Macaca mulatta: one gene and its partners. The protein of the gene in region 2 purifies or fractionates together with the protein of the main gene of each other region. This does not show direct contact. Links are inferred from orthologs where the notes say so. Each region holds a gene or a part of one and is shown on either strand. Other genes may lie near its edges.

What was found.
Region 1: the proteins of USP9X (region 2) and CTNNB1 purify together in Homo sapiens (affinity purification with western blotting; 6 studies listed by BioGRID, with this or other methods). This does not show direct contact. The link is inferred for Macaca mulatta from reciprocal best matches to the Homo sapiens genes USP9X and CTNNB1.
Region 3: the proteins of USP9X (region 2) and AMOTL2 purify together in Homo sapiens (affinity purification with western blotting; 3 studies listed by BioGRID). This does not show direct contact. The link is inferred for Macaca mulatta from reciprocal best matches to the Homo sapiens genes USP9X and AMOTL2.

The regions. Positions count from the first base shown.
Region 1 is NC_133407.1:104,565,596-104,569,159, forward strand, and holds part of CTNNB1 (catenin beta-1), read left to right. Parts: intron 1-350; 5' UTR 351-398; coding exon 399-411; intron 412-857; coding exon 858-1,085; intron 1,086-1,281; coding exon 1,282-1,535; intron 1,536-1,660; coding exon 1,661-1,899; intron 1,900-1,987; coding exon 1,988-2,189; intron 2,190-3,536; coding exon 3,537-3,564. UniProt on the Homo sapiens protein: Key downstream component of the canonical Wnt signaling pathway.
Region 2 is NC_133426.1:40,965,790-40,970,153, forward strand, and holds the start of USP9X (ubiquitin carboxyl-terminal hydrolase 9X), read left to right. Parts: upstream 1-1,556; 5' UTR 1,557-1,837; intron 1,838-2,197; exon of another isoform or gene 2,198-2,864; intron 2,865-4,364.
Region 3 is NC_133407.1:37,408,483-37,412,046, forward strand, and holds part of AMOTL2 (angiomotin-like protein 2), read right to left. Parts: intron 3,393-3,564; exon of another isoform or gene 3,338-3,392; coding exon 3,031-3,337; intron 1,956-3,030; coding exon 1,811-1,955; intron 1,421-1,810; coding exon 1,328-1,420; intron 1-1,327. UniProt on the Homo sapiens protein: Regulates the translocation of phosphorylated SRC to peripheral cell-matrix adhesion sites. Required for proper architecture of actin filaments.

The sequences.
Region 1 (3,564 bases), on a different chromosome or scaffold from region 2:
CAGAGAGCAGCTGATTTTTGAATAGTGTTTTCCCCTCCCTGGCTTTTATTATTACAACTCTTTGCTTTCTCATCACCATCCTGATTATCTGTAATTTATATTTCTACTATTAATAAAAAGATGTATTTGGTAAGGAGGAGTTTTCACTGAAGTTCAGCAGTGATGGAGCTGTGGTTGAGGTGTCTGGAGGAGACCATGAGGTCTTGTGTTTCACCAAATAACCTGGTAAAAGAGGATATGGGGTTTTTTTTTGTGGGTGTAATAGTGACATTTAACAGACATCCCAGTGACTTAGGAGTATTAATCAAGCTAAATTTAAATCCTAATGACTTTTGATTAACTTTTTTTAGGGTATTTGAAGTATACCATACAACTGTTTTGAAAATCCAGCGTGGACAATGGCTACTCAAGGTTTGTGTCATAAATCTTTAGTTACTGAATTGGGGCTCTGCTTCGTTGCCATTAAGCCAGTCTGGCTGAGATTCCCCTGCTTTCCTCTCTCCCTGCTTACTTGTCAGGCTACCTTTTGCTCCATTTTCTGCTCACTCCTCCTAATGGCTTGGTGAAATAGCAAACAAGCCACCAGCAGGAATCTAGTCTGGATGACTGCTTCTGGAGCCTGGATGCAGTACCATTCTTCCACTGATTCAGTGAGTAACTGTTAGGTGGTCCCCTAAGGGATTAGGTATTTCATCACTGAGCTAACCCTGGCTATCATTCTGCTTTTCTTGGCTGTCTTTCAGATTTGACTTTATTTCTAAAAATATTTCAATGGGTCATATCACAGATTCTTTTTTTTTTTTTAATTGAAGTAACATTTCCAATCTACTAATGCTAATACTATTTCATATTTATAGCTGATTTGATGGAGTTGGACATGGCCATGGAACCAGACAGAAAAGCGGCTGTTAGTCACTGGCAGCAACAGTCTTACCTGGACTCTGGAATCCATTCTGGTGCCACTACCACAGCTCCTTCTCTGAGTGGTAAAGGCAATCCTGAGGAAGAGGATGTGGATACCTCCCAAGTCCTGTATGAGTGGGAACAGGGATTTTCTCAGTCCTTCACTCAAGAACAAGTAGCTGGTAAGAGTATTTTTCATTGCCTTACTGAAAGTCAGAATGCAGTTTTGAGAACTAAAAAGTTAGTATATAATAGTTGAAATAAAATGTTGTGGTGAAGAAAAGGGAGTAATAGCAATGTCACTTTTACCATTTAGGATAGCAAATACTTAGGTAAATGCTGAACTGTGGATAGTGAGTGTTGATTAACCTTTTCCAGATATTGATGGACAGTATGCAATGACTCGAGCTCAGAGGGTACGAGCTGCTATGTTCCCTGAGACATTAGATGAGGGCATGCAGATCCCATCTACACAGTTTGATGCTGCTCATCCCACTAATGTCCAGCGTTTGGCTGAACCATCACAGATGCTGAAACATGCAGTTGTAAACTTGATTAACTATCAAGATGATGCAGAACTTGCCACACGTGCAATCCCTGAACTGACAAAACTGCTAAATGATGAGGACCAGGTGAGCAATGACATGGCTAGCTTTTTAGTCTGCTTTGAAGTAAATGCTCAAGGGGAGTAGGTTCAGAATGTCTACCCACTACCAGGACTTGAAAACTAATGATGTTTCTGATTCTTGTATTATAGGTGGTGGTTAATAAGGCTGCAGTTATGGTCCATCAGCTTTCTAAAAAGGAAGCTTCCAGACACGCTATCATGCGTTCTCCTCAGATGGTGTCTGCTATTGTACGTACCATGCAGAATACAAATGATGTAGAAACAGCTCGTTGTACCGCTGGGACCTTGCATAACCTTTCCCATCATCGGGAGGGCTTGTTGGCCATCTTTAAGTCTGGAGGCATTCCTGCCCTGGTGAAAATGCTTGGGTAAGAAAACATTGTCAGAATGCTTGAAGCTAAAAAGTAGAAGAGTATAGTCACAATATTTCTGATGAGGCTTTTTTCTTCTTCCCAGTTCACCAGTGGATTCTGTGTTGTTTTATGCCATTACAACTCTCCACAACCTTTTATTACATCAAGAAGGAGCTAAAATGGCAGTGCGTTTAGCTGGCGGGCTACAGAAAATGGTTGCCTTGCTCAACAAAACAAACGTTAAATTCTTGGCTATTACGACAGACTGCCTTCAAATTTTAGCATATGGCAACCAAGAAAGCAAGGTAAGAGAATTCTTCTTTATGTGGTTTTCATGGAGCATCGGACACTTCCAGTGTCATGTCATTCCATGCAGTGTTCCTAACCTTTTTGGCACCAGGGATCAGTTTCGTGGAAAACAGTTTTTCCATGAATGGGTTGTGGGAATGGTTTCTGGATGACACTGTTCCACCTCAGATAGTCAGGCATTAGATTCTCATAGGGAGCGTGCAGCCTAGATCCCTCGCATGTGCAGTCCACACTAGGGTTTCCGCTCCTATGAGGTTCTCATGCTGCAGTTGATCTGACAGGAGGTAGAGCTCAAGCCAGGTAATGCTCGCTCACCTGCCACTTACCTCCTGCTGTGCAGCCCAGTTCATTTCTGTTCTTTTAAATTTTTGAGTTTCCATATGTAAAGCACTATGCAAAGTAATAGGGATATCATAGGCAAGCTTCTCTTCACACTTTTGTAATTAGGTGGGATGTAGATGTTGGGAATAATAACCTAATATTTAATTCATGTAGTGGGAAGAAGTGGGGGCTATGAGAGCACATTACACAAGTGAAACAGACTCTTTATGAGGGTTCAAGGAGGTACCTCTTGGAGGAAGTGATAGTTGAGTTCAGTGTTCAAGGATGAGAAGGGATTCACTAGGTGAAGGTTAGGTGAGAAACAGCATCTTTGAAACGAAGGAAGGAGATGGAAAGTTTTGGGAATTTAAGAAATACTAACAGTAAAGAGGAAGAAAGGTTTGAGGTGAGGCTATTGAGATAGACTCAGCAGATCTCATAGGGCTTTGTACAGCATGTTTAAAAGCACAATGGGAAATTTCAGCAGAAGCATGAAATGATGAAATTTGTTTTTAGAAAATTGGGGCAGTGTTGAAAGGGAAGATACACAGGGGATGAAAGGACAAGAGTGAATGATCATTTTATGGTATCTCTTTTTAAGGTGGATATAATTAGGAAAATTAAAGGGCCAAGTGATAAGGAGTTTTAAGTGCCAGTTCTGGTTCAAATTTTCAGTGAATCAGTTTTGATATAACTTTCATCTTAGGGCATTAATCTTGCCTGCCAACATGGTTTCTAAATTTTTTTCTTCTGCTATGATCAGTATGGGAAGAAGGAAATTGGGCCAAAACTGATACATTCTTGGGAGGACTGGGATGTCTGAATTTGAGTGGAATGCTTTAAAAGGACAAGTTGGATAGGGCCCCAGTATGGGGGTCAGAGTGATGGGGTCCAGGGATACATTTAGGTCCAATGACAAGCTGGCTGAAATTCTTGTATAATAAAATATGTTGGTAATATGGCTCTTCTCAGACATGTGATCAAGATTCCATGACTAACAAGATATGTATATATCTTTCTAGCTGATCATACTGGCTAGTGGTGGACCCC
Region 2 (4,364 bases):
TTATTGATTTTGATGCTATTGTAATGGAATTTTAACTTAATTTTCAGATTGTTTATTGCTAGTGTGTAAAACTATAACTGATGTTTAAATATTGATCTTATATCCTGCAGTTTCCAGAACTTGCTTATTGGCTTTATTAGGTTTTTTTTATAGTGGATTTCCCAAGATTTTCTATATATAAAATCATGTTATGTGAAAGTAGCGATAGTTTAATTGTTCCTTTCTTATCTGGATGTCTTTCATTTCTTTTTCAGGCTAGAACTGCAAGTACAATATTGAACAGAATTGGTGAGAGGGGACAATCCTTGTTAAAGGTGCACTTTTGATAGGGTTAAAAGACCAGTGTTCAACACTTTCCAATCCTGACCTTGGGCAAATCATTTACCCTTTCTGTTTCCTTATCTAAAATCGAAGATAACAGCCTACAGTGTACACGGGTGGTCGTGTCTACTTTTTAGAAGCCCATGAGCTAGTGGGTAAGCAAATGATTCATGGAAATAATTACAAAAACAAGGTAACATATGCTAAGAGTTATTAGGGCTATGAATGATGTATCTTGGATACCCTATTAGGTAATTTTGTGGTGAAAAATTTGTAAACAATCTAGTGCTAAATAGAGAAATGGTTTAAAAATTTAAGATACCAATAACTTGCTTTCACTGTCACCTAAATTAGTTTGGTTCCATTTTTAACAGTCTTTTATTACAAACTGATATAATCATAGCATAACTAAATTCAACCCTGTTCTCTATAAAATAGATCTCGTTTTGTAAGGTTTTACTATGATTTTGCATGCCATTTGATGTCCACAGGTAGTTTTAAGTCAAAAGGAAATCTGTAAATTAGGAACTGTTAATTTCCTCTTCATTTGGGCATCCTAGGCAGACTGTATAGAATTGTTCCAAGCACCCCATTAATTTGAGATTAGCCTAAGTTTTTCCTACGCCTGCACTTTGGAATATAAACATGTAGAAAATAGTCCATGACACAGCGGATGGGTTCATAAGTTTCTTCCGGGTTCTAACACCGAATCGTGCTGATGATCTGGCAATGGAGGCTAATCTTGCCATATCAAGTACGGCCTATTCGCTAAGCCGTCTGGGGTACTTTATAATTTTTTTCTTTCCTGGTCTGTTTGAAGGGCTCCTATAGCCAACAAGGTTGTCAGTCCCGTCAGTTACGCTGTGAGGACGCCTAAACGCTTTCAAGTACTGATGCTGCGCGATCGTGTGAAAGTGTTTCCCAGAGCACCTCCCTCGCGGGGTGGGGAAAAGGACCTCACTCCCCACGCCCCCTCCTTCCGCTGCAGGAGATAGCCACACCTTCCCCCTATCGGCGCCAAGCAGGTGGCCAGGCCCTCGGGACCTCGCGCCCCCGCAGCCCAGTGGCCCGGCCAGCTCGTGCGTCACGTGACGCGGGTCAGCTGCGCCGCCGGGACCTCCAGGCACCGCGGCGGCGACAGCCCAGCGCGTGGTCTCGGGATCTCATCTTTCCGCGCCCCTCCCCCCACGATCCCGGAAAAGGGGGAGGCCGGTGACGTCATCATCCGGGTTCTTGTCGGTGGGGCCACGGTTCACAATGGAACAAAAACAAGCGGCCAGAGTCAAACTATGAGCGACGCGGCTGCGGCTCACGCGATTAACCCCGTCGTGACCGCACACCCCGCCAGTCCCTGCCGCCCAGCCCCTCCGGCGTGGTGTGCCAGATCTTTTCGGGCCTCCCTTCCCCAACTTCGGTCCTAGAGCCACCTCTGCCCTCGTCCCGCTCCTGAGCCGAGGGGCATGGAACAGGATTTCTGGCGGTAGCACGACCCTGAAGGGGCCAGCCGGAAGAAACGGTACTGCGCGAACAATCTTTACCGCATTGTCTTCCCCTCCCCCACCCTAGCTCTCCGGGTTCCCAGCGGCTCGCGCCCAAGCCCGGCCCCCTCGGCGGCTCGCGCTGCTCTCCCAGCCTTGACGGTCCGGGGTGGAGGCGGGAGAAGAGGGGGCAGCTGAGCGGGAGGGGGCTGGGCAGGAGCAGGGGGAGGCCCGAAAGGAGGGGCCTGAGAGGGGCGGGGTCTGACGGGGGCGGAGAACTTCGGGTCTTGGGCGGCTCTGGGGCTAGTGGGAGTCTGCGCCGCCGCCGCCACCGCTGCTGCCGCCGCCGTCGCCGCTACCGCCGCCGCCACTGGCCGAGCGGTTTTTTTTTTTTTTTGGTTTGCCGGATCCGCCATATTGACGAGGACGGGCATCCGCGGCTGCGGACGCTAGTCTCCGCCGCCGCCGGAGCCGCAACCTCTCCGCACCCGGCCCCGTCAGGGCCTCTGCCGCGCCGAGCCCCTCCCCGCCTTGCACAGCTCCCGGGCCTCGCGGGAGCCCTCCGCCGCCGCCTCTCTCTCGCGGGAGGCGGCCGCCTTAGCGCCCGGTGCTTGGGTCGGCGCCGGGAGCTAGGAGAGAGCTGTTGCAAAGCAACCAGGCCCGGAACGGGGACAGAGGCGGCGACTAGGGGAAGGTGAAGCCGTCGCTGCAGGAGGAGGAGCAGGAGGAGGTGACGCAGGAGAAACGCACCGCCCGGAGCCCGTCTGAGCTCAGCGAGAGCCCCAGCCTGAGGGGAGAAGGGGGAAGAGGGCCGTAGCCGGCCAAGGAGGAGGAGGAGGCGGGCGCGGCGAGAAGCGAGTTCCGGCGCCGGGTGTGCAGCCTTTTGGTTGAGACGCCCTCAGCCCCGAGCCCGGCCGCCGCAGCCTTTCAATACACTTTGTTGCCGGTCACCCACGGGCCTGGGATGCACCCAGGGTAGGTCTTGTCCCGAGACCGAGCCCCAGCGTCGCCTGCTGCCTCCCGCCTCCACGTGCCCTGGTTCTGAGAAGACGTCTGTGTCGTGCGGTGAGTGGCCAGCTGCACCGGGGCGACGCGCCTTCCCGGGGCCAACAGCTGGATGTGGGTGAGGGGAGGAGGGCGAGGGGGGTGTGCGTGTGTGTGAGCTTCTTCCCTCGGCGGCTGCCGGCCGGGCCGGGGCTTCCCCGTTCCCCCTCCTCCGGCCCGGGCTGGGCGGGCGCGCGGGGCCGTGTTGTGTGTGGAGCCGGTGTCCCGAGAGCGTGTCTTGTGTGTTTTGGACTGTAAGGGAAAATGGCTGACGGCTCCGTCCCTCCCCCTCCTCCCCCTTCCCGTCCTGTCTGGGGCCGAGTAGGAGGATGGAGTCTCCGGGCGTGGCGGGCAGCCCCCCCGCCGTCCGCACCCGGGGCCCGGGTCGGTTTGGGGGCTGGCCGCCCCCGGCCCGGCGGCCGCTTTCCTGCCCGGTCTGGTTCCACTTGACACCAAACGCCATTACTGAGGTGGAGTGATTTGGAGTCGGGGAGCTAGGCCTCGGCTACGCCTGGCTATCAGGCCTGACGACTTGTCCGCCTCCCCCCACCCTCCCGCGATAACCCGCAGTTTCTCCCCGGCCCTGGGCTCCTGGAGTCGGAGCTGGGTTATCGGCCTCCTACACTTCCTTAACCCCGCTTAATTTGCAGAGGGCCAAAGCCGTGAAAGGGGTTTTTGAGTGCAGAAATCGCTTCCAAGCTAGCTTGGACCTATTATCTTTCTATTTTTAACTGTTTCTGCAAATATTAGCATGTGCGAGTTTATTAGTGATCAGATCTTCAGATTCTTGTGACGTGAGGCTTAGGGTTGGATAAATGGCTGATTTTTCATTCATTGTGAAATAAGTTACAGAGTTATATAGAGCAGGTGTATAGATGGCTTCTTCAATTATTTGTGTGGATTTCTGTAGCGACTAGAACTTACACGAGAATTTGCAAAATTTCTAGTAGAACCTGCTTAAATTAAGCATGTTATTTTTTGGAAGTTCCATAGTTATAACGTTAATTGAATTTACACGGTGTAGTTTACAGGTGTATATAATTGTTTCAGATTGTCTTTTAGTTTAAGCAAGTTGTAGGTATAGATTATTCATACTTTATTTTTCGGCGAGAGAAGTGTGTGTGCCGCTCTTTTACCTGGAAACCCATGAGTCCCTGAATCTACCTAACGTATGTATACTTTCACTTTTGAGGGGAATAATTTGGGGTGCATTGATTAGGAAACTTTCCAGCAGGTACTTAACCCTCTCGGAGCTAATTACCCTTAGGTAACTCCTTCACCATGACTAGCTTGGCTGGTTAGTACACTTGAACTTAAAAATAGAGACTACAAACTCTCCTTTAGATCTCGCTGGTCTTCTAATTCGCTGGGCTGCCATTTTGGTTTCAGCAAATGCCTTCAAATTCTTGAAGAATTATGTATTAAATATAAAAAATGTCAACATTCTTTTTCTCAATTTTTAAACTAATGTGCTGTGTCATACATCTAACTTTAACCCTTTAAACTTTATCGTTCCAGCGT
Region 3 (3,564 bases), on a different chromosome or scaffold from region 2:
GCTTCTCCTCCCCAGACTCCTCAGGGAAACCCCAGGGCTGCCCCATCCCCTTTCTCCCTCATTCCCTTTGACTCCTTCCCAGAGACCTTAAGCCGCTGCCACCTCACCCCACCCAGCCAGTAGAGACCAGCCTACCTCCTGCCCCACCCTGTCAATTCCTTCAGTGCTGTGTTCCCCCATTCCCTGCCCTAGTCTTTGAACCCTCTTTGAAGGAAGATAGGGGTGCTGCCAGCCAGAGCTAAGTCCTCAAGCTGCTCCTCCATTTCTGCACCCCACACTACTGTTGGTGCCATTCATAGTAGAGTTCCTGTGAAGCCTCAAAGCCACGTTTACCCAGCTACCAACCACTCCCATTCCACTTCTCTGCAAACACCCTGAACGGCAGTAAAGCTCCTAGTAGGAGCTCAATAAATAACTGTTGTTAGTCTCTTCTGATTGCTAGAGCCTCCTGCTGCTGAGCTCAAGGCTCCCTTTGCCACCCACCCCATGTACCTCTTGAACGGCCCAATAACTCCTTCACCTCTGGCTGGCTCTCCACCCCCGCCATCCCCACGGAGCCTCTCTCTCAGGCCACTGGGGCTCCTAATCACCAGTTTCTAGGACCACCCCCCTTGTTCTTTTAAATCTGTGGGAACCTGCTCCTTTCTTAAGCTCACCACTTCTCTCCTGACCTCCCTGCCATGGTACCTTCCGGGGCCTGCTCCCATTCTCACCTGAACATCTGCCAGATGCTCAAAACACATCTGCTAATTCATGAATGGACTAGTCAATGAACTTGCCCATTCTTCAAAGATGCTTAGACCACCCCCTTTAGAATGCATCTGTTGGTTAAGGTCTAGGATCCCATTTTTGGCTGTCTCAAGTGCCTCCACTTAGCTTGCTATGGCCCAGTTCCATCATGCCCCCTGCCTCTCACATTCCCGTTGCACACTCCTGACCTTTCTGCTGCCTGGAACTCCCTGGGAAGCTCTCAGACGACCTTTCCTTCTTCACCTCACCTGTGTTCCGCGTTACCTTGCCTCCCACACTGCCCAATGCACTGCACTGATGGTCAGCACGGAAGCTCAGCAAATCACTGCTCCCTGGCTTTCCCTCTAGTGTCAACTGATCTTCTTAATAGATACACAACTAGATCCTATTCTTCTTTGGAAGCCACTTCTCCCCACCATCCCCAGATCCAGTCTAGTGTTGGGCACACAGTAGGCAGTAAACCTGCTCCTAAAGTACTGCTTTGCAAGGGGGAAGGCCAATCTTCCTGGTCCAGAGGGTGTGCAGCAGTCCCATTGCCTGCACACAGGCCAGGATTCTTAGTGAGGCCCCTACTCACTCTGAGCAAGCAGCTTGGCCACCATGTCCTGACTGCCGGCCTGGGCCTCCTGTGTCTTGCTTGCCAGGCGGCGGTTTGCAGATTCCAATCTCTCTGTTTCAAGGGAAGGAAAGATGTTTTAGTGTCAGGTGAAGCTGCCAGCTTGGGATTTTTCCTGACATCCTATCAAGACGGGGCTGCATCCTCCACATTGGGGATGGGCCATGAGGAAACCCCGGCTCAGCTCAGGGCCCGATGGGAGGGAGCCTCCTCTGTCAGAAGCCATCATCCGGGCCCCACGATGGGAGCTCCCTGAAGGGATCCGAGACCCAGTACATAGAGACAAGCATCTCTCTATCAGGGCAGCTCCCGAGGGTCTCAGCCTGGCTCTCTGAGTTCATCTGCACTTTTAGCAGGTAATAGATTCCCAATTTTTCTCTAGAACAGAGGAAGTAAGCCCTCTGCAGAGGCTCTCCAACCTCCACCTGTGTGACTGGCTCTCACCTCTAAGATCCCGGTTGAAGTCTTGCAGCCTCCTCATTTCACTGTCCATCTTGTTCCTCATGGTCTTCTCCAGGGCCTCACGCTTGGAGGAGGCTCTGGTCAGGCTCTCATGGGCCTCAGAGAGCCGCTGGATTTCGCTTTCCAGCTGCAAGAGGCAGACAGCAGAGCTGAAGGAAGGTGAGAGCTCCTAGGGAGTGATTCCAGGCTGACCCACTACTCTCCATCAGAAAAGGTGACAGATGAGAGGACACCAAGCAGGAGCAAAACCTCCAGGTTTTGGTGGGATGACTATGGCGGGATGATCAGAAGCTTGTAGCCTCCAGAAGTAGACTGGACTGCTGGGACCAGCAAGCAACGGTCCATCGGCTGCCCCAAGGACCAGATGCTGAGTGACCCTAGGGCCAGGTACTTTGGAAGTAGCTGCCTGCAGGGTGACTAAACATAGCTTCCCTGTGCCCAGTGTCCAGAAGGAAACATTCTACTTTTGGCTGGCTTCCACCAAGAAACTGAGTACGGTTGGCCAGAAGTGGGCACCAAAAGACTACAGCCATGTCGGGGTGGTTGGACCTAACTTGGACACCACAGGACAGTCAAGGGAGGCCTGAGGCCATCTGCTAAAACTGAGCCTCAGCAGAAAACTGGTAATCCTTCACTAAAGAAGCAGGCACCAGGTCTAAGCCTGAGCCACCTCTGCCTGGTCCCCCAGGCATCACCGTCCACCCAGAGGGCCAGCTGGGCCCCGGCTGCTCCTCCCACTTGGCTGCTGGCAGGTTCCGCACGTGCTCTTAGCTGGCCTGTGATTCCAACAAGTCTTTCCAAGAGGAGAAGTTTTCTTTTTCGCCAGGGCTGGCCTGGAACAGACTTGCTGTTGTGTGGGGGACACAAAGGGCTCTCTGTGGGAGGTGTCCATGAGAGGGGGTGTGTGCAGGGCAAGGGTGCGAGTGTGCAAGGAGCTGGTGAATGGGCTCTTTCTAATCACCACTGGCCAGCAACTGCTCATGCTCCAGGCCTGCTCTGCCGGCCTCTCGGCTGTTCCCCAGCTGTCTGGAGTCAGCTCAGGAGGGTGCATGAGGGGTGAGGGAGGTGGAGAACAGAGGGATGGGGGAAATCAAGCCAAACAGTTTTCAGGCTCCTCTGCCTCTCCTTGGACTACCCACTCCCCAGGTAGCCCCTCGGGGTCTCTTTCTGGTCTGCCCCTCTGAAACCCCAGCAGGGCCTACCTTCTCAATACGGCCGGCCTTCTCTGCAGAGCTCTCCAGCTCCCTCTGCAGCCGCTCATTGTCCCTCTGCAGCCTGGCATTCTCCCTCAGCATGGCCTCCATCTGGGCCAGGTGGGCACTGCCCGAGGTGGCTGAGGAGGCCTGGGCACTCACTGGCCCCTCCACAGCAGGTGGGTTGAGGGAGCTCAGGGGGCCATGGCCAAGAGCAGCTGGATGTGGGGGAGGGGGGTGCTCCTGGGGTTGCTGCAGGTACTGGTACTGTTGCTGCTGTTGGAGGAACACAGGCGGCACCTGGGCCTGCAGGATCCTGGGAAACAGAAGAGACGGTGCTCAGAGACAGCACAGACCCTTATGGTTCCCACCCGGAGCAGCCCAGAGTCGCCCCATTCCTAGGCATATTGGGAAGATGGTTATTATTCATAACTAATATTTATTAAAATTGCTGCAGATAATTATTCAACCCTCAAGTGGTAGGCAGGGACCAGTGGGGAAGGCCTTTTCCAAATGTTCCTGCCTAAGGCTCTCAAGAGTCAG